Solanum lycopersicum: one gene and its partners. The main gene of each other region encodes a partner of the protein of the gene in region 2 in a complex. Links are inferred from orthologs where the notes say so. Each region holds a gene or a part of one and is shown on either strand. Other genes may lie near its edges. The genes, in order: general transcription and DNA repair factor IIH subunit TFB4, general transcription and DNA repair factor IIH subunit TFB2 and general transcription factor IIH subunit 2.

The links.
Region 1: general transcription and DNA repair factor IIH subunit TFB2 (region 2) and general transcription and DNA repair factor IIH subunit TFB4 share a complex: the UniProt entries of both Arabidopsis thaliana proteins name them as parts of the 7-subunit TFIIH core complex. The link is inferred for Solanum lycopersicum from reciprocal best matches to the Arabidopsis thaliana genes AT4G17020 and AT1G18340.
Region 3: general transcription and DNA repair factor IIH subunit TFB2 (region 2) and general transcription factor IIH subunit 2 share a complex: the UniProt entries of both Arabidopsis thaliana proteins name them as parts of the 7-subunit TFIIH core complex. The link is inferred for Solanum lycopersicum from reciprocal best matches to the Arabidopsis thaliana genes AT4G17020 and GTF2H2.

The regions. Positions count from the first base shown.
Region 1 is NC_090805.1:46,427,559-46,438,071, reverse strand, and holds general transcription and DNA repair factor IIH subunit TFB4, read left to right. Parts: upstream 1-3,640; 5' UTR 3,641-3,724; coding exon 3,725-3,755; intron 3,756-3,858; coding exon 3,859-3,956; intron 3,957-4,065; coding exon 4,066-4,309; intron 4,310-4,663; coding exon 4,664-4,710; intron 4,711-5,440; coding exon 5,441-5,478; intron 5,479-5,553; coding exon 5,554-5,599; intron 5,600-5,760; coding exon 5,761-5,814; intron 5,815-5,918; coding exon 5,919-5,987; intron 5,988-6,820; coding exon 6,821-6,897; intron 6,898-7,627; coding exon 7,628-7,723; intron 7,724-8,633; coding exon 8,634-8,706; 3' UTR 8,707-9,001; downstream 9,002-10,513. Other genes in the region: uncharacterized protein, read right to left, coding at 9-101, 1,161-1,217, 1,977-2,063, 2,615-2,689, 2,785-2,820; CASP-like protein 4A3, read right to left, coding at 9,390-9,584. UniProt on the Arabidopsis thaliana protein: Component of the general transcription and DNA repair factor IIH (TFIIH) core complex, which is involved in general and transcription-coupled nucleotide excision repair (NER) of damaged DNA and, when complexed to CAK, in RNA transcription by RNA polymerase II.
Region 2 is NC_090801.1:59,306,865-59,317,577, forward strand, and holds general transcription and DNA repair factor IIH subunit TFB2, read left to right. Parts: upstream 1-941; 5' UTR 942-1,094; coding exon 1,095-1,207; intron 1,208-1,679; coding exon 1,680-1,847; intron 1,848-2,513; coding exon 2,514-2,582; intron 2,583-3,150; coding exon 3,151-3,244; intron 3,245-3,412; coding exon 3,413-3,513; intron 3,514-3,644; coding exon 3,645-3,693; intron 3,694-3,771; coding exon 3,772-3,831; intron 3,832-4,507; coding exon 4,508-4,576; intron 4,577-4,887; coding exon 4,888-4,971; intron 4,972-5,066; coding exon 5,067-5,150; intron 5,151-5,489; coding exon 5,490-5,575; exon of another isoform or gene 5,576-5,923; coding exon 5,924-6,014; intron 6,015-6,769; coding exon 6,770-6,850; intron 6,851-6,946; exon of another isoform or gene 6,947-6,963; coding exon 6,964-7,176; intron 7,177-7,271; coding exon 7,272-7,409; 3' UTR 7,410-7,627; downstream 7,628-10,713. Other genes in the region: uncharacterized protein, read left to right, coding at 131-223; tetraspanin-19, read left to right, coding at 8,142-8,308, 8,401-8,500, 8,617-8,697, 9,043-9,147, 9,239-9,436; abscisic acid-insensitive RING protein 4-like, read right to left, coding at 10,352-10,461, 10,608-10,713. UniProt on the Arabidopsis thaliana protein: Component of the general transcription and DNA repair factor IIH (TFIIH) core complex, which is involved in general and transcription-coupled nucleotide excision repair (NER) of damaged DNA and, when complexed to CAK, in RNA transcription by RNA polymerase II.
Region 3 is NC_090803.1:54,335,792-54,345,818, reverse strand, and holds the start of general transcription factor IIH subunit 2, read left to right. Parts: upstream 1-332; 5' UTR 333-567; intron 568-1,625; exon of another isoform or gene 1,626-1,690; intron 1,691-3,956; 5' UTR 3,957-3,960; coding exon 3,961-4,221; intron 4,222-5,178; coding exon 5,179-5,640; intron 5,641-5,854; coding exon 5,855-6,227; intron 6,228-10,027. UniProt on the Arabidopsis thaliana protein: Component of the general transcription and DNA repair factor IIH (TFIIH) core complex, which is involved in general and transcription-coupled nucleotide excision repair (NER) of damaged DNA and, when complexed to CAK, in RNA transcription by RNA polymerase II.

The DNA of each region.
Region 1 (10,513 bases), on a different chromosome or scaffold from region 2:
ATTATCACCTCAAATTTGGGTATGTTTCTCCTAGTCCCTCCTTCAAATGCTAGCACTGGCAAGAACGCCACCATTGGCCCTTTTATGTCCACATAAAAGCTCTGCCAGAAAACTCAAAAGTGAATTTGAAGCTCATAAGGAAAAATCATAGATCTTAATGACATAATCTGCAGTTTCAGATAAGAATCAATGAACTTTTAGATTTTATGCGTGCTACATGGACCATCATTACATTTGTGACAAATCTTGATGTGTTCATGAAAATGACAGAAAAATAGACAAACACAGGAAATCTCTCATCATAAGTACTAGAAACAGATAGAAATTTTTTGGACCAACTTTTTTACCTCAATGAATGTAATTTTGTATAATGAATGATCAACATAAGTCACCACTCGCCACCACATTAATATGAATGTCATTCTATATGGTCAATAACACATACTCTAAAAAGAACTTATTTCCCAGCAGACTTGCATCACTACCCTTCCCTTTTTACACAACTACAGCTGATATGTCCTTACCAGAGACATGGTGGTTTAGAACCTAAAACCCTACAGTTGACTTCAACCAAACTGTAACAAATGAAACTAAGTAGTCAACAACTCACATAAATCCCCTCAAATATTAGGAGCAACATATATTGGATGCTTATTATGTCTTAGATAAGTGCACCATAGATCTGATTGATCAAAAACAGGAAGCAGAAAGACACACTAAAGCAAAAGATCAGAGCAGCACGAAACTCCCAGTTAAAGCACCAATTATACTATTTTCGTATAAAGCAAATAGAAGAAGTGGATAGTTTGACAGCATCAAAGGAAACTCATCAAAAGATGATGAGATTAATAAGTTAAGGTCGTTATATATCAAAAAAGGAATATCAGCATCTTGGCTTTGACTTTTAAACTCATTAAAAAGAAAAGGATAGTGAGATACTGAAAAAATTTAGTTCTTAAATGCATAACATACTCAATTACTTAAAAGTGCAGCTGTTAGAGAGTTCATGCTGCAGAAAGTAGAATTAAGGGCACGGCTAGTAGCAAAGTAGACATAACTATTCACCAGAAACCGAAATAAGGAGGTTATCACAATAAACAGTGGCATTGCTTATTATAAGAAGAACAAGTAACAGTTTTGAAATACTGAAGAATGCTTACATCTGCTCTTTTGTCCACCACAATTCCAAGGACAGCATCCCCCACGGTAGGTATATACTGTAAAGAAATAACAGCGGATCAGCAAATCAAAGAAAGTTCAATTTGATATTCTTTAAAGAAAAAAGTTCAACACTTCAATTCAACCAGAAGAGACTATCCTAATTTTTATCACCGAACAAGGTTATTTCTAAAATAGTTGTATCGCAGGGTTAAATCTAGGAATTGAGTAGTCACTGATGGAATCATTAGTACTTGGCTCCTATTTGATAAGGTAGTACTATAGCTCCCTTGTTAGTCCATATTTCAAAACAATACATTTAACCTTGTAATTTCATACTTTTTTCCCTTTATAAGTTTTTTGCCGAGTTAACTAAGCAAAAGAAAAAACATAAAGGACCTCTGCAACTCTGAATTGGATATCTTCCTTTAACTCTCTAATATAGTAGCATTAACTCACTTGTGCAATAGTTGAGGACATATAAAGTTTGCAGATCCACCATAACGCACATTGGCTCATTCATTCTAGCAGTGAATCAAAATTTCAACCTAAACAGTGAATACATGCTGCTTTATTTAATTTCATATACATTCCCTTAGAGTTTCACTGTGAGAAAATCCAAAGTGCAGTTTACTATCTCTGTTTCAATCATGAGAAGATGCTGAGTTAAAGAAATAGTTTCAGGTTACTTTAAACGTATTAAAATATTAGCCAACAACCTGTAAAAAGCAACAAAACTGGAATTTTCCAATAAAATCTACAAAAAAATAACAGCAGAAGTGATACTTGGATAATTCTAGAAAGATAGCACCACTCACTCTTTTGTGTGAGCTTTCAATCCAGTACTTGTTTGGCTTTGAAAATCTCAAAATACCTGCTTTGACGACAGTTACAGCATCATGATCCTGTCAAAACGGGAAAAATATGTATAGAACCTCATATATATTTATCTTGAAGGCAGTTAGAAATTATAAACTTTTGATGCATTGCCTCCTTATACTTAGAGCCACAGTAAGTATAATGCTGAATAGAGTACTATCATCCACAGAGGAAAATAACCATATACAGGTAAAGTGCAAGAAAAGCTAGCTTTGAATACATTAGCTTTAAGTCTCTTTTTGATACATATAGAATGAGAGAAAAAGAACAAATTTTTTTTTCAAAATAGCAAGAACTATGTGCCTACAAATGTTGAGTTCTTGGTGTATCAAACAAGTAAATTGTAATAATCCAAAATCAGTGAGAGAATTAATGTATTCCCTGAATGTGAGAAGGAACTTTCTTGGTGCTCTGAACAACAAAATTCCAACTCACTTACCAGAAAGAAAAAAAAAGCAAGAACAGTGTATAAAACATAAAAAGAACCTTTTTTTAAGCTAATATTTGTATATACAAGAGCCACAAACAAAAATCTATAAACCCATGAGACAGAAATCAAAGCTCTGAGAGGAAAAACCTGTTGGAGGCCGCCACCCAGTTTAATCGTTTGGTTAGTCATGCTGGAAAGATCTAAAACAACATCACCAGGAACCTAATCAAAACCAAAAATACAATCTTTTTTGCATCAAACAATTTATACACTATAATCTGGCACAAGAAATCGAAAAAAAAAAAGTTTGTACTTACTACTGGTTTATCAATGAAGCAAGGTTTCGAACCCATTGTATTGTGTTTTTCTTGATTGAACAGAGTGTTTGTGTAAAGTCTTGGGGTTTATGTCTCAACAATGTTAAAGATTGCTAACCTAGCACCCCTTTGTTATCAACATAAATAGTTTTTATACAAAGTTATATTTTTTAAAAAATAAGGAACGAAGAAACTTCTAATTTGGGTTAGAGGAAAATAAAAAAAAATTATATTTTTTACGCAAATTATATAATGTCAATAGCTAATTATATTTCATTCTTACTATATTCAAATTACTAAAATTCCCTAAGTATAGTGGAATCCGAATACATTCCAAAGCATTTCGATACATCGTATCTATGTTTCAGATATGTTGCATCTCGATTATCTGATACATTGCTCACATCCTCATATATCACGCAAAGTGATTTATTCGACTAGTTATAATTTTTTCAAATAGTAAAAGTTTTAAATAATGTGATAAAATAAGTTGTGTATTTAATTTTCCTAAAAATAATAAGTACTCCTAGGTAGGGAAAATTAAAATAGAGAATTAAAAATAAAGGGATTTTTTTTTAAAAAAATAAAAATAATAATTTGGATTTTAGGGGAAAATTAAAATAAGAAATAATAAAGTAAAAAGTTTGGGTTTAGGGAAAATTAAAATAATATGTAAAAAAAATTGACAGCTGTGGGATTTGAACCCACGCCCTTTCGGACCAGAGCCTAAATCTGGCGCCTTAGACCACTCGGCCAAACTGTCTTTTTGTTATGATAACGATGTTTTTTTTTATTAACAATTAATTATCGAAGTCTTTTTCTGTTATGATTCAATAAAAATAAGCATTATATAAGTAAAAAGGCAAAGCCCGACAGTATATTGCATCGGCGACGCTCTCTACACCTGACCGGTGAATTAAGGTTTATTCCACCGGCGGCCATGACACCGGTTTCATCAAAGCTTTACGCAGGTCTGTCTCCTTCTCTGTCTGTGTAGCTGAAGTATGCAATAAGTACATGTTAGTGGAATAAGAGGAAAATGTGTTAAAATTAATCTCTTTTGAATACTTTCAGACGATGTGAGCCTATTGATGGTTCTGGTTGATACAAATCCCTACTTCTGGAGCTCAATGAAGAACACTGCCTTCACATTCCCTAAATTCATATCACACGTAAAGACCCCTAAAACCCAAAATTTGTTTTTTTTTTTAAAAAAAAATGAATAGTTTTGTGTTCTCCATTTGTTGAATTTTGATGCTGGAATGTATGGGGGAAATGCAGGTTCTTGCTTTCTTGAATTCGATACTTTTACTGAATCAGATGAACCAAGTAGTTGTGATTGCAACTGGGTACAATTCATGTGATTATGTATTCGATTCGTCTACCTCGTCAATGCAAAGAGCTGAGTGTTTGTTGGAGAAACTGGAGGATTTTGTGGATAAAGATGAGTCCTTGAGTCAAGAAGACTCTGTTGATGGAGTTGGGTTTTCGCTGCTTTCTGGTGCACTTTCTATGGCTTTGTGCTGTATCCTCAATCAGTTCATGTCTGTTGGTTTTTTTTATATTCTTATTGAAGTGAAATTTTAATGATTTTTATTGAGATGCAGAACCAAAATTTGGACTTGCTAGGTTTATTCTTTGAAGCTCTTAGCACTGAATTTATTGACTGTTGAAATTCTAGATACGAAATCTAATCTTTTTGGTTAGATTTTAGTTTTTCTTACTTGTGTATTCATGTTCCGTATTTGAAAATACTGAGTTTGGTTGAACCCGTAGCTATTAGCTATATCTGCCACTGGTTTTTATTTGTTATTGTGCATAGCTTTGCATTCACGTTTGTTTAGAGGAAGTGTTTCTCTTGACCTGTGTGCACTGTTAGACATTCAACGGGTATTTCGTTCAGGGCCTCTTCATCCACAACCTCGGGTAAGTTCCTTATTTTACAAGAAACTGAAAATGGGTTCTTCTGGGATTTTGAATTGATGGAATTTGTTATGAGAATTTCTACTTGTATTATTTTGTTTATCCAGTTACATTTATAGATTTTATGCTTATGTGAAATTTTCCTGGTCGATCCATTTGGGATCGTAAGCTTTAGCATTTACAAGCATAACATGTTATTATGCCAAATACCTTATCCATGGAAATATCTCTCGTCCAAGGGGAAAAAGAACTTCGAGTTTTTTCCAGTGATTTCTTTGGCCTTTTACGTTTCATGTTAATTCTGATAGTGTTTCTTAACCCCAAAGGTGCATTTAAGGGGGTTTGGTGAGGTAATACTTTAAGTTATTCTATGTTTTATGTACCTTAAACAAAACCATCAATTAAACTTCAATGTGCCCTGATTTATTTGTACTGCAATTTTTATCCAATGGTATAGTGAAACTACCATTCCCATCCTTATCAAGAAAAGAAAAAACTAGCATTCCCGATGAAATGCCATTTCTGGTCCCATTTCATTGGCAATTTCTTAATGTGATATTATCAGATATTACTACATCATTTTTGTGTTTGTTAATTTGATCATTTATCAGTAAGGTAGTTGTTAGGAAAAAAAAATCTGTCTTCTCTTGTTTTATACTTTAAAATTTGATCCGTTTTTGTTATGTTGGATATGAATATTGATGCTAAGAAAATGTGCTTGAAATTATGGCAGATATTGTGTCTGCATGGATCTCCAGATGGGCCGGGACAGTATGTTGGATCTTCACAGCTTCTACAATCTTCTCATTGTTAGGTTCTCTGCTGAAACATGTTCTTTTTTTGCAGATATGTTGCAGTCATGAATTCAATTTTCTCAGCTCAACGTTCAATGGTATATAGGATTTAACAATTCTTTCCTTCAATTTTCCTTCTTGATTAATTAGAAAGTTGTCACATGTCTTCATAAATGTAGAATTTTCAAAATTAGGGATCGGGACTTAGATTTCCATATTGTGATCCTACTCTAAGAAATGCAATGCGTTTTTATTGCAGGTACCCATTGATTCATGTGTAATAGGATCTCAGCATTCTGCTTTTCTTCAGCAGGTAGCATTTCTATACCTGAAAGTTCTGGTTGAAAATCTATTCCTTCTCAGCATGAGTTATTTTCTGGCTCACTGATCTTATGGTGCATATCTATCTGGGAACAGGCTTCTTACATAACTGGTGGTGTATATTTGAAACCCCAAGTATCAGATGGACTGTTTCAATATCTCTCTGTAAGTGTTATTAAAATTATTAATACTAAGTTGTCTCTCTTTGTCAAAAAAAATACTAAGTTGTCTCTAGCTTAGCATTTTAACTTGTCAATAGCATGGATCCAACATTGAACATCTACGGTTGTCTCCAGTGCTGCCTTCAGACATTAGTTTCTATCTGATGTGTAAGCATGTTGAACAAGTCACTATACTTTGATTTGTTTAGTGTATGCAATTTTTGTTTCCAAGGAGCTTACACTAAAAAGACCTTCCAAAAGTTTGACCTATTTTAAATCTGGTATTAAATATTTAATATATGTACTACTATTGTTGGTGTTGGAGATACAGTGATCAACCAAAAGGCTATGACTGAAAGTACCAATGTACTCTTTGTGGACTTAGAAAATCTTCTCCAAATGTCTTCTGGACTGCCGCAGTCCGATGGCTTCTCCTTTTGCCCTCTATAGTGAACTTCTCATGCTTTGTCTCTGTGAGTAGGAGATAATAATATCATGAATGAAGATGTGATTGTTGTATGACCTTATTTTCAACATTTCGTTCACGTTTCATGGAATGCAATAGACCCATTGCTAAAACCACTTCCACGACTAGAATACAGTATCTACACCAGAAGTTATATTGAAATTGATTTCTTATTCAAGATGTTCTTTCACATCAACAAGTTGCATATTTCTGTCTGATGCGGTTGGTGTACTGTGCTTTCATTCACCTGGTGTGATCTGTAAGATGGTTAAATGCCTTGTTTTATTTTTGAGATGTTTTATTTGTAGAATGTCTTGTCTTGAGATCTAATTTTCCGTTTGAAAATACTGACAAGACTGTAATAAATACAGACAGTTTTTGCGACTGATTTACATTCTCGGAGCTTCTTGCAACTTCCCAGACCTGTTGGAGTTGACTTCCGTGCATCGTAAGTGATTAGTGTGTCTATTATTCAAGTTATGTCACATATGATGAACTGGTAATATAATATTTGGTATGTATCCTCACTAATATTTTATGCACTCTTTTTGATGGTAGTATTCAACTTTTTGTATTGTCAATGTTCAAGTTCGTTGTGTTAGCTTATCTCATTCTTCTTGAATCGTCTCAAATTACCTACGAAGCTTAAGTGATTTATCCATCTAGCTCAATGTCATTTAAGAATGGTTGTACCACCTTTTCTCTTGCATTGTGAAAGCTCTTTCCTATTATACCTTTTTTTACTTCAATTAGACAAAAGCTTTCATCATCCACTCGTATTTTTGGCAGACAGAAATTCTCCTTGGATCTTCTTATTTGAGGTTGTTGTATCATCTGTTAATTTTGTCTTAACCATATCTTTCCCAACTCCCAGCTTTGAGTCATTACGAGTGTTACGAACTTGCAACTAACTTTTGAGAGTGCAGCTTTTGATAGGATACTTATCCTGAAAAAAGAAAACAATGTTTATCAAGGAGACCTATTCTCTACTAATAGCAAAAGTAGAGTATTTATTGAATTTCCTCCTATCTGGACTCAAATAAATCTGTGCTCCAATTTCCAGTCTATTCTTACAAATTCTTGGATTTAGCCCCCAATTAGTATTGGGTACTCTTCACCCCTTTACATTCCATTAAGTATAGCTGCTCATCTGATTATGTTGTGCGACTAATTTTCAGGTGCTTTTGCCATAAAAACACGATTGACATGGGTTTCATATGCTCTGTTTGTTTATCAATATTCTGCAAGCATCACAAGAAATGCTCAACTTGCGGGTGAGTATTCATTATAAACTTATTGAAGTGTCTCATTGATGAACTTCTCTTTTTTTCATTAATTATGCTGCATTAAGAATAATGTTCCGTCCAAAGAGTTCACATGAACTTGTGATCATGTCAATGTTACTGTCAGTACTGGTTACTTTTTGATCAGTTAGGAGTTCTATTGCTGTACACACAAGGAGTTGAGGTATTCTAATGAACAGCACTCTTATATTCTAATAGGGAGAGTTGCCATGATTTACATGCCCTAGCTTCATTACATCAAGGTTTTAACACTAACGCTAAAAGATAAATACATATTTTCAATCTATGTACACTTATGTTTTCATTCAAAATCTCTAGCCTTCTCACCTTCTAGACCGCCCACCAAATACGAGAAGGGAACTAGAAGTATTGGTTATTGGTTATAGTTTCATATTATTTACAAGGACAAGGGTGGCATGGACATAATAATGTGTATGCTAGTTATGTGATTTTCACTTATTTGTTTTGCGACATAATATCTGCTAGTTTTCTGGAAAGGTTGAACTCTGCACAGCAATTATAGGGATAATAGGTGCAGTTAAAAGGTCCTATTGAAAAACATAGAAGCTGAGGCAATGTTACCTACCTTGCACTATGTTAACTATCTGAATTTCTTGAGAGAAGATACATGAACATCACTCACCTAGTAAGTGCTAATGGATAACTTGTCATTACATTTTAAGGATTCTTTTCTTGTTTCCTGAGAACATTTCAGACAAAAACCGAAGACACAGGAAAAAGGGTTGCTTGATTCCATTTTAATATTGTAGAAGTTTATCTGTAGTAGCATCCTAACTGTTTTTCAACCACTCACTCCGCTGATAACTCAATTCATTGAGTTTGGGTATCCTAATTTTTAAGTTCATGCCATAAAATGCAGATCAAATTTTGGGGAGGCACGAAAGCAGGATCCCTCAGCCTCGGATCAGAGGAGGACTTCATATGGTAGTTGAATAGATAATCCTAAAGCCTATTTAACACCTCAGGCCATTGCCACTACTGTGTTTCAATAGATTTCTTATGATATGAACTTCCAGATGGTTATATTAAAGACGAGTCCAAACTGGACTAATGATACTAGACTATGTTTCAGCAGCAGGAAGAGGAAATTAAGGAAAGAGGGAGCTTGACCTTTTTCCAGTGTCAAGAATCTCCTTCTCTAGGTGAAGGAATACATAGGATGATTCTAATGAACTTGTCTGTATTTTATGAACTTCCAATATAAAAATGTTATTGTCCAAGTGAAAATTTGAGTAGAATTCCAAAACAAGTTAAAAGGTACAAACTGCAAATACATCAAACTGTTACCTGAACTCAAGATTTGATTATGTCTCTTAATGAAAATGTTTCACATTCACACTGTTCAATACATCATATAGATTTAACATATACCATATCCATAAGAATATATGCATATTTGACGTTATTTTTTTCACGTACTCTACAATACAATTTGCTCAACCGGATTTGTATACTTTATTCCTCTGCAGTAGGAGTGGGGAAAAAAAGAGATTATTATACAGCTAAATCTATTTACTACATCTGTACAACTTCTGATCCACTAGGCATAAATATTTCTTGCAGTAATTTCTCAAAATTACACAATGGATGAATATAGTTGTAACTCATTTCAAGATCACGAGGAACTACGGTTGCAGAGGCTATAACCAGATATGATAGAGCTGAAGGCAAAAGCAATGAAAGCCAGGAAAGACATCGCGATTGATGCACTTGCCATTTCTGTGAATGCATCTTTTCCCCAATTTGTTGCCCAGTCGTCTACCCTCGTTGCAGAAGAAGATGATGCAGACATAATAAGATATGCCAGTATCTGCACAGGTACGAGAACAAAAGACTATCATCAGAGCATATATACACACAACAGTAGCAGGACTAATAAAGCTAGCTAGATAACCAGCACAATAACAATAAACTAAACTGACCCAGAAGTTTTCAACTGGCTAAATAGAAACTATACACTTGAGAAGCTTCGAGTAAATGTCATGAACACTGCAACATACCACAACATCTTAGGGTCCATACACACTACATACTAGGGCCAATGTACGCTTTGATAATTTTGGCAATTGAAGTGAAATTTCATTCTCAAATATCACTCATCATCTTAGTTCCATGAAAAGTATCTAGTACCTTCCTAATGATGAATTCATCCATAAGTTATTCAGCCCCGAATTCTTGCTCTCCAAGTGCTGAACCCTCTTTACGAGAGGGTCCAAATATCTTTAGGAAGTTATGACAATGTGTTCCGTTGTTGAGCTCATCTCAAACACACACTTGTATGGAATAGTAAGCTACCTATAATTCTACCCTGCTTAGGTTTTCTAAAGCCTTCAGCCTAGATGAGGCACTGAAAAGTTTTTCTTCAACACTAGAGCTGAAAGAAGTTATCGAATAGCTCTGAACTAAAACAGTTTCGCATCTCCTAGTGGAGCTGAGCCATCTACTTCTCTAAGACCTGTTCCCAAGGATCCAAATCATATGCCTCAGAGTGGGGAGGAAAATCATTTTATTTTTTTGACCGAGCACGACTCTAAACTAAAATCTACATAAAGATAAAAAAAAACCAGGACTAAAGAAGCCATTGAAAAATGCTATTTTTCCTTCAAATAAGCAGCTCAATTGAATACATAGAGGTGGAATAATCCAGACTCTGCACCCTTCCCTGCTAGCAACATTCTAAGGGCCTAATACGAATACCTAAGAGCAAACCATACCAGTTACTAATTTCACCTCAAACTA
Region 2 (10,713 bases):
CAAACACGTAATATATTAATAAGATCACGTTCATTCTGAACCCTCACTAACTCTAGATGTTACGTTAGCCTATTACCATTTTGCTTTATTGGATGCTGTCAAATGTTTTTATTTTTATCTTACTGTGCAGTTTGATATCCCTACTGAGGAAGTAAATAAAATCCAATCAAACAGGTCTTCCAAGACTCTAGCAGAAGAGGAGCCAGCTGATAAAAACAAGTAAACTTGAAGATTTTCTTAATGCAACTAATTGTAATGGGCAAGAATAGCATCTATATATAGTTTATTCTACGAGCTAGGATTTCTACTATAGGAAACAGTTTCTCTAGTCCTCCAAAGGTACAATTGAGGTCTGTGTATATTCTATTCTAATCATACACCACTTGTGGGATTATACTGAGTATATTATTGTTGTAACTTCATTATGCAAATAGAAGTGTTAACTTTTTCTTTCTGTAATACAACAATCTAATAGAAGATAATGCTCATAAAGTTTAAATTTATGCAGTTATAAATTACAACGTAATTATGTAAGTAAATCTTTTATGAAAATATTGACGGGTAATAATACTTTATCGGAGGATAAACTACACTAATCATGTGAAAATTATTTACATAATTTATACCATCAAAAAATATTTAATTTAAAATGTTAAATCATAATGAAGAAATTAGTTACCTGGGAGATAAGTGACAACTTGCTTACAATAGGTTTGAGAAGCTTCGACATTTGGAAATTTCATAAGCATTCGAGAATTTAATTTTTATGAAAATATGATAGAGTTTCACTCGAGAAATTTGAAACTACATGACAAAATTAATTTTCGATACCAAGTAGTATTTCGCTGAACCCAAAAATGCGGTCCAATTCATATTGGGCCTTCAAAGTTTTTGGCCCAAATAGCAAGAGAAAAGAACCTTTGCTCGCCCGAGTGGGGTTCAATACATAAATCTACAGTTTCTGTAATGTTTATGAATCCGGCGATAATATGTATTAGCAGAAATTAGGGGAGAATCATCATCATTCAACAACAGCTAAAACCCTAGATTGAGAAATTGAAGTATTGAAAACCTTTATTTGATCTATAACAACAATGCCGCAAGTGAAGATCGTCGCCAGGAATTTCATGGACATGGTGGCTTCATTGCCTGTCATGAAACTCGACATGCTTTACGACAATTCCTTTATCTGTGAAGCCATTCTTAGGTATTCTAAAAATCCCCAATTTGATCGAATGTTAAGAGTTTTTCTTGCTGCACAACCAGTTATAGGATTAATTTCTGCTTGTAAAAATGGATGTAATTTCACCATTTTAGCATATAGTGATATGTACTGTGTACATTTGGATGCAAAAGTTGTTTACTTTGTCTTTAAGATTATTATTATGGAGAAATGAACTTCAAGCTATAGTCATAGATGGATGAAGTTAATCAGCAGCAAGTGCTGTGCTGACACAAGTATAAACATACACAAGCACAAATTTTTTAATGTTTGACTGTTTTTATAGAAAGTATTTGGAGTATATTTTTTTTTGTATCCATGGCAACAAGAGATTGATTAATTCACTAGTACTTAGCACTCACTGTATTCACCTCGAGCTATATCAAGGGAATTCACTTTTGGTGATACTATTTTGAAACATGTTATATTATGTGCTTAATTTGTTCATTTCTGCTAGATCGTTACCTCCCTTAGCGAAGAAGTATGTGCTGCAAATGTTGTATATAGACATACCAATTACAGCCAAGTCGATGGAGGAGTGGGTGCTTCCAGATGGATTCTCAAAGCATAAAGTTGCCATTGATAGATTGATACAGCTGAGAGTAATGACAGAAACATTTGACAGGTTATTGAGCAGATTCTTCTCTCTTGATAGCTGCTATATTTTTGTCTTGAATAACGCTGACCTATAACAACATTTGACACTTAAATTTTTATTTGGTTGTTATAAGCAAAAAAGAGATGCAAAAAATCTAATTTTTAATGTGAGAAAAGAGGATAAACTTGTTAAATTTAAAATCTCAGAAGTAATCATATTTCAGCAATTCAAAATTAAATAATGCTTGTACATTATCAATGAATTTTGACCCTTACAAGATGGAGTTTTTATCTCTAATGGAATACAAAGTCACTGCCTGTTGTTAAATTTCCTCCTCAACCGGAGGCGGATGCTATATAGAGGTCTGTATTTACTTTTCCCGCTTGATCCTATCTGGTTGTCATGTTTTTCACTTAGCACTTTAAATACACATGAGCAAAGTTAGAACTTTGGTCAAAATAAGCAAAAGCATGATTAAAGGGAATATCTTGAATTGTTAATGCTTGATCTTTCTTTTGTTTTTTCCTTTTAAGTTTTGCTCTTTATAAGCATTATAGAAGTTTTAGGTAGTAGAAATCATGTCTCAACTATTGGAATGACGAAATCTGGTCAGGGTGATCCACAATATCTTTGCATGTTGTTATAGTCAGTTTTTGATTGTTGAACGTTGCCATTCTCTTTGATTTCTTACAGGAAAAAGGAAGCCATGTATCAACTAAACCCAAAATTTCAATTTAATCTTCAGAAGCATATAGTCTATGGGTAAGCTTTATTATCTTATTTATGTTATTTTCTCTGTAGGTGTTAATGATCACTACTGGCCAGCCCTCTCTGAGATGGGTGATCTAAAAATGAAAGTACATGTACAGTTAGTAGAAGTACTAGTCAATGACATTTGGCGTCTAGACACCAGATTCATGGCCTATTAATCCCCGTCTCGAAGGAACGATTTCTTTACTCATTTGCATATTTGAATAAAGTTGGCCCAAATTGAGTTGAGTTAATATAGAGAATTGATGTAGGTGACTGCAACTAGTTTGGGATTGATCGATTGAGGCATAATTATTATTATTGTTGTTGTAGGTATATTCACACTTGTGTATATGTTCCATTTTATTCATCCTATATGACTTCTTGATTTGTCTTGCTAAATTTCTAATTGGGCTCAAGTTCAGAATTTGACCCTGATACATTTGACCCTCAGTTGACCTATAAGATGCTAAACTTGATACAGTAACTTGTTGTGGTAATACTTCTACATGATGCTGAAATATCTGTCTTAACCTTGGTCTTGTAATTGCACTATAATATGTGATTTCAATTACTGTAGTGGAGTCTTACCAAGGGAACCAATGCCTTCTAATATCACTGTGAGGCTTCCTAGCTTGGAGGAGTTAGAGGCATATGCTGTCGAACAATGGGAGGTATGACTTGCATTTTGTTAGTAGTTCTTATCCGTTGATTTTCCAGGAGCGTTCAGAATGTGTAATAATATGTTGTGAGACAATCTGCTTTTCTTTCGGTCTTGATCAAACTGCAGCCTGAATATAATTTTGGCAACTATTTTTATGACTTGCAACTGTCGCAACCAGTGCTTTCTGCTGAACCTTATAAGCTCCAGTGAAGCTGGAAAGACCACAAACATAAGCTCTTCGATGATGAAAATCTTCCAGCGTGGACTTTTAAGTCAGAGGTACGTCCACCTCAGTGTTATGGATATATATTTACTCGCAGAAAACATATGTATAGTTCTTTGTCCTCATGTGTATTTATGATTTTGTAATAATCGATATAATCTCCATGAGTTCATGCCTTCTTAAGCAGAGACGATAGAGAACCTCCAAGGTTGACTGAAAGTGGGTTCCAATTCTTGGTACGATTTACTGAATTATCTGAATCAATTAGTGTTCTTTTTTGTTGGGAAATTGTATTGACTGGTGGCATATTACAGCTAATGGACACAAATGCACAGCTTTGGTACATCATCAGGGAGTACATAACAAATGCTGAGGTATTGCTGACCACCTCCTTCTCTCCCTGCATGTGTGTGTATGTGTGTCTCAAGCTCCATTGGTTCATTGGGTGGTGTTGTAATTCAGTTACATTTGACATTTGCTTATCCCTCACTTTTGCGGCTAGTCTTCTGATAGACTTTGGAGATAGGTAGGGAGGAATTTTCAGAGATGCAGCTTCGGCCTTTGTAGAGCTTGCTATAATTATATCACCTACTCTGCCTCTCTAAGGTCGTCAAAGCGAAAGCATTCCCAAGCCTGAATAGAGGAAGAGAGTTGAGGGAAACCGGTGGCGAATGTAGCAATAGTCAAACTATTTTGAATACTGAAAAAATGTGCAGATTGGATACAGGCGTTTCATACAAGATCATATAGCTAACCCCAATTAGTTTGGGGATTGGAACCTAGTTGAGTTGAGCTTATTAGTTCCACCTTAGATTTTATCGTTGCTGATAACATATTTTAGGCACTTTTTCCTTGTTTCCTTACCTCTTTAAATTAGTTAATACAAGCAAGAATCAAGAAGATATTCTTTCTTTGATTTAAGATTTTGGTTGAGAAGATATTGTGCCTATGACCATTATTTGGATTGTCTAGTATGGACTTCTATTTGTATAACTTTTGGACAATTTAATGATATTAAATGATTACTCTGTATTTTTCATATTAATGCAGGAGCGAGGAGTGGATTCAGCAGATCTTATTGCATTTCTTTTGGAGCTAAGCTTTCATGTTACTGGCAAGGTATTATTAGACAGTTCTAGAGCTTCTTGAATTAAGTTTGTCCTGGAGCTGTAGTAATGATACCATCTTTTGAACTCTAAATGCTTGAATTTTAGTTAGTTCTGGTTCTGGAGCACTCAGATGTTTGGTTGAAAAGTGGTGAATTTGTTTTTGCAGAAAGTTTTGTACTTTGACTTTAAAAAACAATATTTGAAAAACTGAAAAATATTGTGACGAAGTCTTTCAACCATTTTCCCAACCACACAGTTGTAATCTTCATTTCTTCAGTATGCTCAAGTTTCGTATGTTTGTTGAATTTTCTTCTGATATAGGCATACAATACAAACACAATAACTGATCTCCAGAGAAGTATAATTAAGGACCTTTCAGATTTGGGATTGGTCAAGCTGCAGCAGGTGAATACTCCTTGTTGCCCCATCAATGAGCTCACGAGAGTGAAAAGATTTGTCTTTTTTATTATGTTCTTAATTACCCATTTGATGCTGTTTAGGGAAGGAAAGAGAGTTGGTTTATTCCGACCAAACTGGCGACCAACCTGTCAATTAGCTTAGCGGATACAACTACTAGGAAACAGGTATGCTGCACTCGCAAGTGTTCCCTAGAGTAGTTGGGTCTAGTTACACAGAAATCCAATTTATTTATTTGTTTTCTATCTTTGTTCTTACAGTTTTCTTATAAAGCAAGTGTGTACAGAAATTTTTGAATTTTATGCTTCCTGTCATCCAGATTTTTTTTGATAATGAAAAAAAATAAATAAAAAAATCTGGATGACAGGAAGCATAAAATTCTAAATTTCTGTATACACTTGCTTTATAAGAAAACCGTAAGAATAAAGATAGCTTAGTTTGAAACGAGTTCAATGATACCTTACTGACTGCAAATGCATCTTTGCCTTCCCACCCACACTCATCAGGGTTTTATCGTTATTGAAACAAACTTCAGACTGTATGCATATTCAACATCAAAATTGCACTGTGAGATCCTACGCCTTTTTGCAAGGTACCAAACGATTTGCTGCTGCTGCTTGTGTTTTTTTCTGTAGTTTGGTTGAGAAAAGAGATCATATGGAAAGAACAGGTGCTAACTCTCCTCTTGATAGCATTACCTGGACTCTGTTGCTACTTTTTGTTGGAATTAATACCATCAAATCTGACACTAGTCTGGTGCTTGCCAAGAAATGCATTACTTGTATCATTTGCGAGTTGAGATAAGAACTTGTCCAATTATTCATGGGTTATGCCTAATACTCTGTGTTTGGCTGTTGAGTGTATATTTTCTAGTAGTAGATTTCTTTCATCAACTTTTGTGGTTAGATTTCTAAGTAACAAATTTTAGCTGCAAATACAGGGTGGAATACCAGCTTCCAAATCTCATTGTTGGTGCTATTAATAAAGAGAGTTTATATAAAGCTTTTCAAAACGGCATTACTTCTGAGCAGGCAAGTTTCAGCTGCTATTTATTTATTGACCAGCATTGTCTTGTATCAGAGACAACTAACTAAAAAACTATCTAATAAAGCAACTGTATATGGAGTGCTTGCTATATTTGTTGAAGATTTTTTTTTTGATGATGTGTGGAATGCTTATATTTGTATAAAAGCAAAACGTTGACAAAGATTGATGATGTGGGACATTTTTGTTGGAAGTTCTTAGTAATTCTTCATCAGCTACTTATTGTGGTCTAATTGATAGATGTTGATTAATTGCACTCCTCTCAGAAAAGGTCCTTCTATAGTTTTGTTTCTGGTCCTTTAATCTACTTATCATGTTTAATAGTAGTTACACACCTTTCAAAATTAGCACACCCTTGAATGCATTAATGGAATTAGTGAGCCTATTGTGCTTCTGGTGCCAAAGTTCTTACTGCAGTACCGCACTTAAATATTTTGTATGAAGTAGAAAGAGTTAAATATGACATAATGGAAACTGTTGCTTGAGTTGTCTGGACTGGTTATATTTGAGTTCCAGTTATCCTATCCTTAGTTGTCAAAATACATTGACTTAGATGTCATGGTCCCCCCAAAAAGGAACAATCTGTCATATGGTGATTCGTCAGTCAAAAATGTTTCAAGTGATACTATGAAGTATTCTGTACGGATGTAATTATACAACACAAATGAGCAGCTACTCTACAATTTATTTTGCTTGTAGTTAAGTTTTGACTGCTGTTGTGATTTGAATGCATGGATTGCAGATAGTTTCTTTCCTTCAGCAGAATGCACATCCTAGGGTTGCCGAGAGAATACCATCTGTGCCGGAGAATGTTACTGATCAGGTTCCTTCACTATTTCTCATAGCGTTGAAACTGAAAGATAGCTTTAGAAACCAAATATTACTCTAACTGCACCACATTTAATTGACACTCCTGTAGAATTTGTTCTTGACTAGGCACACGTTGCCAAAATTATGGCGGACCAAAGTCTATTCAAACAATCCATTGACAGAGATATAACTTATGAAAAGATTTATTGGAAAATAAGTTCTTGTCCAACTAACTTATTCAACTGCCACTTTCTCATGCCACAGATTAGATTGTGGGAATCTGATCTGAATCGGGTTGAGATGACGCCAGCCCACTTCTACGATGAATTCCCTTCTAAAGTGGGTATCAAGCACCATGTTATTTGCATTGCAACCTAAACTTCGCTTTTTAATATGTTTGTTTGCGTAACATGATTGTGGTTGCTTACTTTTAGGATGTCTTTGAGGCTGCCTGTGATTTTGCCAGAGAATATGGAGGATTACTGTGGGAGGACTCTAAGCGCATGCGTCTCGTTGTTAAAGCTGATATTTTAGCCGAGATGAAGGAATTTCTTCGTCGTCAAAAGCAATAACTCTTCTTTGCATACTGTCTTCATTTAAATGAAGGGTTTCATCAGTTATGTCCATCTATATATTTATTCCCAACTTAACTTGTACATGAATTTTGTTGTGGGTGTATTGTATTTCATTGTGCTTCGATTTCCTTCTTTCGACACCTTGTGATGTTGTACTAATAATGGGACTACAAATCATCGTCAAAACTATTGATAGCCTAAAAGAGCCTTGTCAATCTGTTTGGGTTTACACAAACATAATATTATGTATTGCTATGACTATGATCTTTTATCTTTTCCAACTAGTTGTGGATATAAACATAATATCTACATAGAATCATTTTGTCAATTATACATCCCCATCTCTACTTTAAAATCTTGGGATGTTGTTATCATGAAAAATTTAAATTAGATTGTTCTTATCCTTGACCACATCTTTGGACAAAGATCCATTTTGGGTTTATATAAGCAAATCAAGCAACTCATAATTCAGTAGGTCCTCCAAAAATAAGCTCTTTCTTGGAAATTTCTTCTGAGCCTATCTGGGGAAATTTTTGCATATCTAGGCATGTCACCATCACTATTATTTCTTTTAAAAAAATCAACAATCTAAACAGTTATAAATCACATCAATATGCTTTCTAATGAACTCTTCCAAGCACCCTTAAAAACATAACAACAATTTACCTAGCAAGTGCTCTTCTATTTCCCCTCCTAAGTGAATGAAACAGCTCCTGTTTAAAATTCAAGATGGTAAAACTTGTAAAGAGTTACCTGCGATTATCCCTCAAGATCACAAACATAACAATAGGATTTATGGGCATTGCAATGCTCATCTATGGTGTATGGATGATCAGAGTTTGGCAGCGCGATGCTGCCAACTCACCCTCATCCCCTGATTATGCTCAATTTCCTTGGTGAGTTCGGTTATCTAACTTTCTTTTTTATTTTACAAATACAGTATAATTTTCCAACGAAGCTAACACTCACAGTGGCGAAACAATGACAGGTTTATCCATGCATTTCTTGGTGTTGGCACTGCTTTGTGTGCAATCACTTTCCTTGGTCATGTTGCAGCAAGCACTGCCAATTCCTATTGCCTCTCATTTGTATCCTTTTTTCTTTATATTTCTCATATATAAAATAGTCTTTGAGTAAATTTATTTTTGGTCCTAAATGAAACTGCATTGAGAGAAACAAAAATGGACCTTAACTATACTTATAGTATATGTTCTTCATATTTGTGCTTCTTTTAGCAGAGATTGCAATTACAGCTGATGTTTTCTTGAACTCTGATTGGGAGAAGGTATGCATCTTACATCTAAGTTATCTTTTATCATATTGTTATATTCAAAGTTATCTCTCTGTATTCTATTGATCAAGACATCAACAAAACAACCTTGTGTTGTAAAAATGGGAAAAATATAATTGAAGAAGAAATGACTTTGAGGCGCGAAAGAATAGACTTTTCTTAAAGAGATATTGCTTCATGTTCTTTCACGAACAGATGTTTTTGTTCAATTTAAAACCTCTAATATGTTACAGACTATATAACAATACCACCAACACATGTACCGGATAACTCTCTGTCCTGCCAAAGCTTGGACAATTGCTTCTCTCCAATGTTCTCACTGTGTTTTACCTGAATCAGGATTTGCCTGAAGATCCATCAGGAAGGTTTGATGATTTCAAGGATTTTGTGGACTCGAATAGCGATGTCTGCCAATGGATTACCCTGCTTTGTGTTCTAACACAGGTAAGAAATAAAAGCAACCCCACCTCCAAGAACTTCACTATGTTTTACTTGGCTCAAATTAGTTACATGATTCTTAATGCATAATAAGCAGGGATGTTGTATCTTATTGGCTACAATTCTAAGAACTCTTGGGCAAGTTAAGGAAAATAGTCATGAGTATGAAGGTGAATATGCAGAACCATCAGCTCCACTTCTTCGCCCTCCGCAACTGCCTCCAAATCCTCTGTATCCATATGTTATTGGTGAACCAGTTCATATTGAACCACATTCTGCCTACAAGAATGTTTGAGTTTTGGAAGACAATTGGTTTGATCCCTTTGTAAAACTATGAAATCTTGAAACCTCTCTTTTTGGCTTATTATGTTATTGAAGTCTGCAGAAGTTGAAGTGAATGAAGTTATCCTTTATGGAAAAATATGCTATGTAGCTTCTCCAATTGCTTAAGAATGAGCTTTGTTAATCAGAAACAGATGAGACCATTTTATGTATAATTAAGATTGTGAGTTTTGCAACTTTTATGTTTTTGAGTGGTATCATTTTTGTTTATTACAATGAACAATGATATTACATTGTTTATGCATGTTGAACTTCTTTGGACTTCTTCATATATTAAACTCTCCTAATGAAAATCCTTTGCGAACATTTTCATTTTCTGAACCATTTCTTATCCTAAGTAAAAATTTAACAGCACTATCTTACTTCAAATGCTTTGCAGAAAAAGGGAAAATTACAGATTGGAAACTAAATACATCATATATTATACATTCTTATAAATAGCAACCATACAACTCTGCACTTGAGAAAGCTCAAATGCTGGTATTCATGGCATACTTGAAGATCAGAAAACAAACAACAATTGTGTTTTCAAGAAGTAAAACTGGAACTGTACAGGCATGTACAAATTAGGAGATGCAATTAAAAAGCTCCATTTTTTTTTGGCTAATCTTATCTAACTTAGCTTCAACCCCTGCACCACAATGACTCGGTCGGGTTCTTCTAAATCAGGAAAGGTGATAAAGTAATCCACCTGCATTTCTAAATCTAGCGAGACCAATTACTTTATCTTTAGTATGATTCAATCCCCCAATGGAAGCATTGATCATCTACCTTATATGAGTATCATAGTGATCAAAAACATTATCTGGCACGATCAAGGGTAGCTTATCTATAAACATGAATAGCCGCCTCAGATTCTCCCTTGTTATCATTGACATGTCCACGATGTCTTTGTTGTCCATGTATACCCACAGATCACTGGAGTTAACCCTTTTAAGGCTATCGCGGCAAAAAGGGCAGGATTGTGACCTTGAACGCCTGCAATGCATTGTATGAGATAACTCTCAGTGTGAGTAGTTGTACGAGCAAAATTAGCTGTACAGAAAGGAGACATAATGCTGAATATACATATTTTGCAGAGTAATAAAGTATGACGCCCTAGTAGAAACAAGTGCAATACTGACCCAAAAAAGAAAGTATTTGACCACCACCAAGAGCTGCTATTCTCCCCAAAGTGGCCCTTAACGAGAAGATGGTACTACTAAATTCCATATATAGCTTGCCACAGGA
Region 3 (10,027 bases), on a different chromosome or scaffold from region 2:
TTTATATAATTAAAAGATATATAATTTAAATTTATAACATTAAATTTACGTTGATGTAGTTAAATTAAATTTATTATAAATATATATAATTTTAATTAATATATTCGACCTCTTAAGGTGAGTTTATATTAAAATTGATATGTTTAATTATTATTTTATTTAAATAATATCAACTTCATTATGTCCATATTTATTTGGAATAAAATGTTTATAAATATAAATAATTATTTTAAAAAAGAATGATAATCTCTAAAAAAAAAAATATCAACTTCATTATGTCCATATTTATTTGGAATAAAATGTTTATAAATATAAATAATTATTTTAAAAAAGAATGATAATCTCTAAAAAAAAAACCTTTTAAGTTTTAAGTCTCTCTTTCCCTTCTAAACCTCTCTCACGCCCACCCATACTCGACCCAACCCCGACCGGCGCTGCCTCGATCAGCAGCAGCAGGAGGTCGCGCTACCTTCCCTGACTCGATCGTCAGCAAGTCGCAGCAGCAGCAGCAAACTTCGGCAGCAGCAACAGAAAACTCTGGTAGCAGCACAAACTCCGGCAGATTAGGTAATGTAATCAAGCTCTTCTATTGTATCTTTTTATAGGGTTGGATTATATTATTAGTAGTATGTATAACTGGCGTTTGAATAAAATCAAAAAATAAGTGTCATCAATAGGTTGGGTTGGACAGATTGAAGGGGTCATTTAATTGAGTTTGGTTGTTGTTCAATGTGGATCCTTCGATTGAGTTTATACACATTAAAATTTGAACACTTTAATGTGTTCAATTGAGTTTGGTTGTTGACATGTTCTCTTTGATTTACTGTCAAGTGCCAAACTTTCCCCATAAGGATGTAGATTTTGGCAAGTTGGACAGTCAATATATTGAAAACGGTAAGAGAATGTTAAGTGCATGTTGAATTTGTGTCTAAACCAGTATGCTGTTGTTACATATTATCTATGTTTCAGTTGCTCTAATAAACTAACCAATACAACACATTCCCATATCATCATATACAATTCTACCTTCCCAATATTGGACAGATATACCAATAACATGTGTATGCCTTACAATTTGATGTCAATATTGATTTATAATACTGATTGTACTTTAGAGATCTCATATATGTACAACTATGAACTGAAAACTTGTGTTTGTGCATGGAATAAAGGAGTCTGCAAATACTTCAAGGTGTTGTAAACTCAGACTAAAGCACTGAATGGATTTGACTACATACTTCAATTGCATTAGTATTGCTTCTAGTAAAGTATAGCATCCAGTTGAATCAACTACAGTCTAAATGTAATAATCTGAAATTTGATGCAATATGAAGAGACTAAAGTTACAACTACAGTTTGGTTGTTGTTTATATACATTAAAATTTGAACATTCTTGTTGGAATTCTTGGTTTCTTAACCCCGGACACAATCATGGTAACATATACATTACAATAACTAGTGGAAAAAAGAGAGGAAGTATTGAAAATAGGAGAAACCTATTTTGAGTTATCAAGAAAAAGAAAAAACAACACAAACTTGTTTACTAACTGTCAAACGCTAATAATCACTAAAATCTCTCTATAATGACCACTAAAGAAATTTTCAATTGTTTCTTTTCGTGGTAGGCAACTAAGGAAACTCAACGTCTAAAAAAGTTGATACAAGACTATATTGCTACTTTAATTATAAGGTTTGGTGTTTCTAAATTTCTAAAGTTCAAGTACAATTGTTTTTTATGATGTGTTTGTGTCCATCTAGTGTTGATATTAAGCTTTAATTTAAGAATAATGTGTTTGTTAAGCATAAGCACTAACATTAGTTGATTCTATTTTCTTTTTTTTTTGCAAGATCAGTTTGTATCCATCTAGTGTTGATCTCAAATTTTAATTTAGGAATAATGTGTTTGTTAAGCATAAGTACCGATATGATATTTTAAATATCAAATACAAAAAAATTAAAAGATATATCAATATACAATGATATCAAAATCATGATATTAAAAATTTTGATATAGTATGATATTTTGATATATACCATACCATGTAAACTCCTAATTTGCGCCTCAAAGCATTTCTTGAACACTCAAATACTTGTCACAAAAATGCCTTTGAAAACACTGATTTAAAGAAGATACCATGAAAAATTCAATTGGTCCATAAATTCTGTAAATTCCCAAATAAGCCTTTTGACCTCAAGATCCTCTCTATTCACTCTTATGATATAGACTAGTTACAAAGAGCCCGTTCAATTGTGCAAGCACAAATTAAATATACATAACTTTATTTATCTCAATAAATTTTTATGTGAGTTTTAAATGTTATAAGTTGTTTAATTGTTGTAATTTATAATTTTTTTTATGTAATTTACAAATAATATATATAAATTTGTCTCAGTTTATGTGGTACAAGTGAAATTTAAAGAGTCAATTGATTTAAATTTCAAATTATTAATTATTATCATCATTTATAATACTATGTCTTTTGTAATTTCTAAACACATAACATACGAAAAAGAAAAATAAAACAAATTGAAAACTTTAAATATAAATCGAGAAAATCTTTATTTATAGTACAATTTTTTAATACATAACATACTAAATAAATGAAAACAAAGAAAACACACTACATATAAATAGTAGAGGAAATTCAATGAGAGTGTAAAAGTCACAACTCAAGTACATAGGGTTCATCAAGAATTGGTTCAAAACAAAGTGCGGATTCACTCAATCCCACATCAATCTCTATCTTCTAACCTCCAAGGTATTTTTCTCTAGTAAGTTTCTCCGTACCCTTGTTTTTTTTGGTTGTTAATTGCAATTACTCAAAGAACTTTGAATTGTTATCAAAATATTGAAGTTGGGGAATTAATTTTTGTTTAGTTAGAGGAATCTTATTGTAAGTATGTTTTGTTGACTTGAGAAAATCATTGGGATGGTGAAAGTTTTGACTTTTATCTAGTAGGGGAAAGAGAGTTCCGAGAATATTTCTAATTTTATGAATGCGAGAATTAATCTGTTAGTGTTTCTTTGTTTACTTGTTAGAATGAAGAGCATTTTCAAATTCCTTTTATCAACGAAAACCTCTGTCTTTTGTAGTCTCAATTGTTTTTTTTTACGTCTAGTTTCCTTGTACAAATATTATATGCATTTTCTTTATCAATGAAGCTTCCTCTCTTCATTTTTCCAAATCGTATTTCTACATTAACACCTAGCTTCCTAGCATTAATTTTTACTTGTGTCACTTAGATTAATACAACTACTTGAATCTTTAATCATCTACATCAGTTAAAATTATCTAGCTTAAGCACTTAAATCCCACCTAGTTTGAATTTGTAGGGAACCTAGTTGTGAACCTTGTATGATGCCTATTACTTTTCTTTTGAGGTGATTTGAACTCTTAATGATCTCAGGTTGTGGAGACTAGTAAATTGAATTATTTGCAATTAGTTGTAGTAATAGGTTCCCTAATGCGCAAGAGGGGTGTTGGAATGAAGTGGATTGAGAACCCTAAGGTCGTTGCTTCAAATCCCAGTAGAGACAAAAAATAAGGTGATTTCATCCCATTTGTGGACGTTACCTAGTACCTCTTGGTAAGAGGTACATGTATCCCATGGAATTAATTGGCCCGGACACCACAATTATATTAAAAAAATTAGGGTGTTCTAACACACCTTAACCCAGTAGGTGATAACTCTTCTCTTTAGCTCATTAAAAGAGTTGTCACATGTTGAAGCCCGCTTTTGCGAGAAAATGGGGCGTGACACACTTAGGGGGAAAAGTGAAGCATAGAAATAGCAAAGGACTAGGTACATATTGGAAAATAGTGCATGTAGTAAGGATGTGTAATGCAAGGAACTCAGAACACCTACATACAGTATCTTGTACTAATACTGAGTTTGTACAATTAGTTTCTCAAGTATCTGGTTATCTTATTAAGAGTTGGTATTATATCTAACAGGGAAATGAACACGGAAGAAAAAAGATTTAATCAAGAAGAGGAGGATGAGGAAGAAAATGGGAGAGGTCGAGAAGCATGGGAAAGAACTTATGCAGATGAAAGATCATGGGAGTCTTTACAAGAGGATGAATCAGGACTCCTTCGTCCAATTGACAACAAAACTCTATCCCATGCTCAGTATCGACGACGTCTCCGCACTGCAACTGCTGCACGAATTCAGAAGGGTTTGATTCGGTACCTCTACATTATCATTGATTTCTCCAGGGTATGTAAAATCCTGTATGATTGCAAAATAACTGCAGTATTGTAATTGGTTACTGACATTTAAAGGTTAATTTTTTTTTTTTTTTGCAAAATATGAAACAATTATTTAAGCATCTATAGTTATCTGTTTGTAAATGAGTTATCTCCGGAAGAAGTTAATCAGGTCCAATTTCCCAGACAATCTGCTGATCTTCTTCTGATGCTAGCAAATTGTTTCTTATGAAGGAACACAACAGGGTCCTTTTTAAAGAACCAGCAGCTCTTTGTTTTATGGATTTCTATTTGCATCTAGGGCTGAAGATTTAGTGATTGCAACTGGTTGATTATGCTATAAGATATTGATAAAACTAAGCAATTGGGTCGTCTTCGATCAGTTTAATGAATATTCAAGTGTATACCTACTTTCTGTTTTGATGTCACCATATTTCTTTAAACCACGTTTTGAAATTCTAAAATTGTGAATTGAGTTTATAAGACAATTATTGCATTTTGAAAATGTCCCTTAATTGGGTTGTGCTTATCACTGCATTGGACGTTTTCTTTTATCATTGACAAGGTGCTTTAACAGACAATCTTAAACATTTGCATGTAAGCCTCTGGCTGATAGTTCTCCTTTCAAGATGTCAGCATCCTTTTCCGTGACATTTTCCTAGTTTTCTTTTTTTCGCATTGCTCGAAAGTTTTTGTGAGCATTGGTTGCATCTACTTGATACTTTTCCTACATGCTTATATTCCGCAACACCCACGCCAACTTGGAAAGCTAGAAGAAAAATCAAAATGCTTTGAATACTAGAAATCTCGACATAATAGTAGAGACTTTTAGCGTTCATTTCAATTAAGTCTGGATGACTTTAAAAATGACTTTTTGAAAGAGAGAGAGAGACAGTAATGTCTCATAATATCTTGGACTTTTACATCTTTTGAGTTTGTAATTGCTCACCTGAATTTTGAATTTTAGGCAGCTGCAGAAATGGATTATAAACCAAGCCGAATGGTTGTAGTTGCTAGACAAGTGGAGGCTTATATAAGAGAATTTTTTGACCAGAATCCCCTGAGTCAAATTGGCTTGGTGATCTTGAAAGATGGAGTAGCTCATTGCTTAACAGATCTTGGTGGCAGTCCCGAGGCTCATATCAAGGCATTGATGGGTAAATTGGGGACCTCTGGTGATGCATCCCTTCAGAATGGCCTAGATCTTGTGTGTGATCTCCTAAATCAAATCCCATCGTATGGTCATCGTGAAGCCCTTATCTTGTATTCAGCTCTTAGCACATGTGATCCGGGGGATATACTGGAAACCATCCAAAAATGCAAAGCGTCCAAGATAAGGTGCTCAGTAATTGGTCTCTCTGCAGAACTCTACATATGCAAGCATCTCTGCCAAGAGACTGGTGGAATGTATTTTGTTGCATTGGATGAGGTAAGGAATTGAGCTCTGAAGTAGTGGTAATACCAGAACTTGTGAAACAAAAACTAATAGAATAAGGAAATCTTTTGCTGGAAATTTAGGATAAATTTGGTTCTAATAGCCTACTATGTAAAATGTCTCATTGAATGATATGATTAATAATATGTGGCAAGCATAATATTGTTAAAACGTTTTATGATTTGATTCGTTGTTATTGCTCTGTCAGCCTCATTTAAAAGAGTTGGTATTGGAGCATGCCCCACCTCCTCCAGCTATTGCAGAGTTCGCTGTTGCAAATTTGATTAAGATGGGGTTCCCCCAAAGAACAGCAGAGGGTGTCATTTCAATTTGTTCATGTCATAAAGAGGCTAAAGTTGGTGGTGGATACACTTGTCCGAGATGCAAAGCGCGCATATGTGAGCTGCCTACTGAGTGTTGCATTTGCGGACTGACCCTTGTATCTTCTCCACATTTGGCAAGGTCATATCACCATCTCTTCCCAATAAGGCCATTTGATGACGTTTCACCCTCAGCTCTGAAAGATTTTCACAAGTTACCAAAGAATTGCTTTGGTTGCCAACTGAGTCTTCTAAATCCTGGTAAGAGCACTCTTCTTATTTACAAAATCGAAACTATCTTGAGGTAAAATATTTATGCCGAAAAACAAGGAAATCTGTCTTATTTTTTTACTCTTCAAGATTATTCTATAAATAACCACTGAAGTGAATCTGCGATCCAATGAAGCACTTGGTCACACAATATATTTGTAAAAACGACTTGCAATTTTTTGGTTCAGAATTGAAACTTCCAGTGGTAAAAAAGATTCATGCCAAAATGATGGAATATGTCTCTCTGTTTGCTGTCAAGACTGCATCGTAAGTAACCTTTAGAGTGAATCTGGGACCCAAAGAAGCACCTGAGCTGGTATTCCTTATCAAAATAAATAAATAAAAATGGAACACCTGAGATTTGCATTTTCTTTTGAAACTGGTAACATTGTATTCCTCAGCATCCTTAATGCTGGCCATCAGTTTTGCAGATATTATCATTATCTATGTATATGCTAGGATGTTCGATAATTTGATAATTTTCAAGTAGAGTAGTTTATCAGATTAACCGTGGGTACATAACCCTGACCTGAAGCATCTGCTGTTGCTAAGGATGTCAATGAAGTTCCTTTCTTTCTTTTTTTTTTTTGAATTGGTAAAAGTTGTGTTCATCAGCATTCAGGGCTATGCTGGCCTCCTCCAAAATTTACAAAAGAGTCATGGATAGTTACAAGAAATAATATAAAATCCACTAATTGGATTTCTTCTATATTCTGTTCTTTACGCCAAAAATCTAAAGTAGTATGAAGTTCCTTTCTTTAAGTTCATAGCTGCAGAGAACTGTAGAAGGCATTTACATAATTGTTTGTCATCTGAGATATCTTGTATGTGCATTTTTCCGATTTGTAAAGAACGAACGAAAGAAAAAACACGCACTAATCGTAACTGAGCTTTTGCTGAACTGAAGCAAAAGAAATGTCTCTAGTGTTCTACAGAAGAAACAAGATGTTTAGTTTCTAGAGCTTAAATTATTCACGTCCAAGATAATAAGTCTTTTGTGTTACAATTCTGTGCTTCTCGCTGGTTGTATCTAATTATGTCCTTTGAGGACTGTTTTGAGGCAAAACTTCAAAGCAATGTTGAAATTTGGTCTTTTAAGGAAGTAGCCTGTTGAACTAAGTGTTTGTATTCAGTCAGATTTTTTTTTTTTTGCCAAATTTCTTGTAACTTGTGATGATATTAGGAAATTATTCTGTAAAATGAGTTGTTCTTGGACCAAACATTAATTGGGATCATAAAATCTGGAAAGGAAGCAATTTGTCTCTTCTTAATGCAAGTCCTAATTCATAGACAACCACTTAAAGTTCCTGCGGCTTTTCATTTAGACACCTTAATTGAAGCTGTTACGCAGCAAACACCTAGGGTGTGTTCGGTATGATGGAAAGTGTTTTCTTAGAAAATGTTTTCTAGGAAAATAAGTGGACTTCTTACTTTTTTTTAGATGAAGTAATTGATTCAATTCATATCGTCAAAAAGATGCAAAGTAGTTACAGAAGAGTGAGTGTGTTCGGTACGCAGGCAGAATTTTTTATCCGAAAAGCATTTGTATATAATTTGAACAATACTATGAGAGGTGAAGGTGAAGGGTAGGGTGTGCGGGGTGGTGGGTATGGGGGCTACAAGGGTGATGCTGAAGATGAGGTGTGTTGGTAAGTAGGAAGGACACTATCAATGTGGAATCTCACTTGTGTAACTTGTTTACATTTTCCAAACAATGTGTTCGTCCATACCGAACAAACCCCCTAATGAGTAATGTATATCTAAAATGTGCCTATTGAACACGTCATGCTTAGCTAGTAAAAAATAAAATGTGTGAGCTTACATGTGAGGATGTGGCAAATTAGCAAATTGAACAAAACCACGTGACTTTAGAATCCAACTAATAAAAAAAGGAAAAAGAAAACACTAGTTTTTGTATTCAGCCTGAATGTTTTTTTTTTCCGCCAAAGTTCTACTCACTTTTTTCTGAATCAGTCGATAGTATTAATTGAATTAGAGCAAATTTCAATAGTTCTGAAACAAGCTTCCACCACATCAGAACTTACAAAAAAGAACAGGCACTACTACTATAGCAGAAATATATACTCTACAGGAACCAATTAATAATGATGATGGAGATGTATTGCGGCCTTTTCCTGTTCATCAACTCAAACCTCATGCTAATTACACCATAGTTTAACCACCACACCAAGCAGAATCCCATATCCTTTACCAACATTAACATAACTGCTCTTCTTTTCTTGACAGCAAGACTTTTTCAGACAATTCAAAACTCAGAACCAAACCTCCCCTCAACCCCCAAAACCACAAAAAGTCCTGTTCTGTCTCTTGAGAGCATCCCGACAACATCCATAGCAGTCACCCTCTTCCTACGAGCATGCTCAGTATAAGTAACAGAATCATGAATCACATTCTCCAAGAAGATCTGAGCACCCCCTAGTCTCCTCATAGATTAGCTCACTGATACACTTCACTGCCCCTCTACATGCCAAATGCCTAATGGCTGACTTTGTGATTCAGTGAATGTTATCACAGAGGACCTTACAGTGAGTGTTAGGAATGCGTTGGAAGTTATTAATTCAAGTATTTAATTATTTATTTAGTGGCTTTATTTATTATTCTAGAATAGGGTTTATACTTCATAGTTTTATAAGGATTAGGTTAAGTTATAGTTATTAGTTTGGAATAGGATTTAGGTCTCCTACTTTAATAAGAATTAGAATTACTACTGATGTAATAAGACTCCTATTTAAAGGGGCTTTGGATGAATAAATCAGTAAGTCATAATTCAACAGAAATTTAAGAGATCAGAGTTCTCGCTTATAATGAATTCTAAGGTTTCAGTCTCCCTTTAACGAGCTGATTTATATATTGCCCTGTGAATGGATCCTTCCCTAAATATTCATAACAATGAGCCTTGCTCCTCCCTTCCCACGACCTGACATGTTCAGTCAACCTTTAGTTTCTCTGAAATTGGAAGCTTCTGAATTTTTAAGACTGTAAGGGAGACGATGATGAAGACAAATTTCTTGTAACTTGTGTGATGAATTAGGAAATTATTTTGTAAAATGAGTTGTGCTTGGACGGCACATGCTTGGGATAATAAAACCTGGAAAGGAAGCAGTTTATCTCTTCTTAATGCAAGTGCAAGTACCTAGACAACCTCTTACAGTTGCCGTGGCCTTTTATTTACACATCTTAATTGAAGCCGTTATCCATCAAACACCTAATTTATGTCTAAAATGTGCCTATTGAACACGTCATGCCTAGTTAGTAAAAATTAAATGCATGAGTTCACAAGTGATGATGTGGTAAAATGGAAAGTCGAACAAAGTCATGTAGATTTTGAATTCGACTAATTGAAAATGGAAAAAGAAACACTATCTTTAGAAAAAAAAACCTCCCACCTTGTCATCTTCCCAACCTCATCCTTCACTTGTCTGATTTCTCTCCAGTTCATTCCTCCATTTTCTTCCTTACCCATGAAAATCTCTCCATAAATTTGCTCTCGAAATACCTCAAAAAAAATAATAAATTAGAAATACGTCACTCTATTTTAAACAACACTAATCATGCCTATAAATATCAAGTCATCCCTACCTTACTCAGCTGCCCAACAGTACAACTAAACCTCAGTCCCAAGCAAGTTGCGGTCGGCTATAGAAATCCTCACTAACCATATTACTGCAGTTAAACCATCTCAGACCAACATTATATAAAGTAATAATAATAAAATAAAGCAATATAAAAAGTACTAGAAGTTCTCTATCTTTGCTACTGTCATATAAATT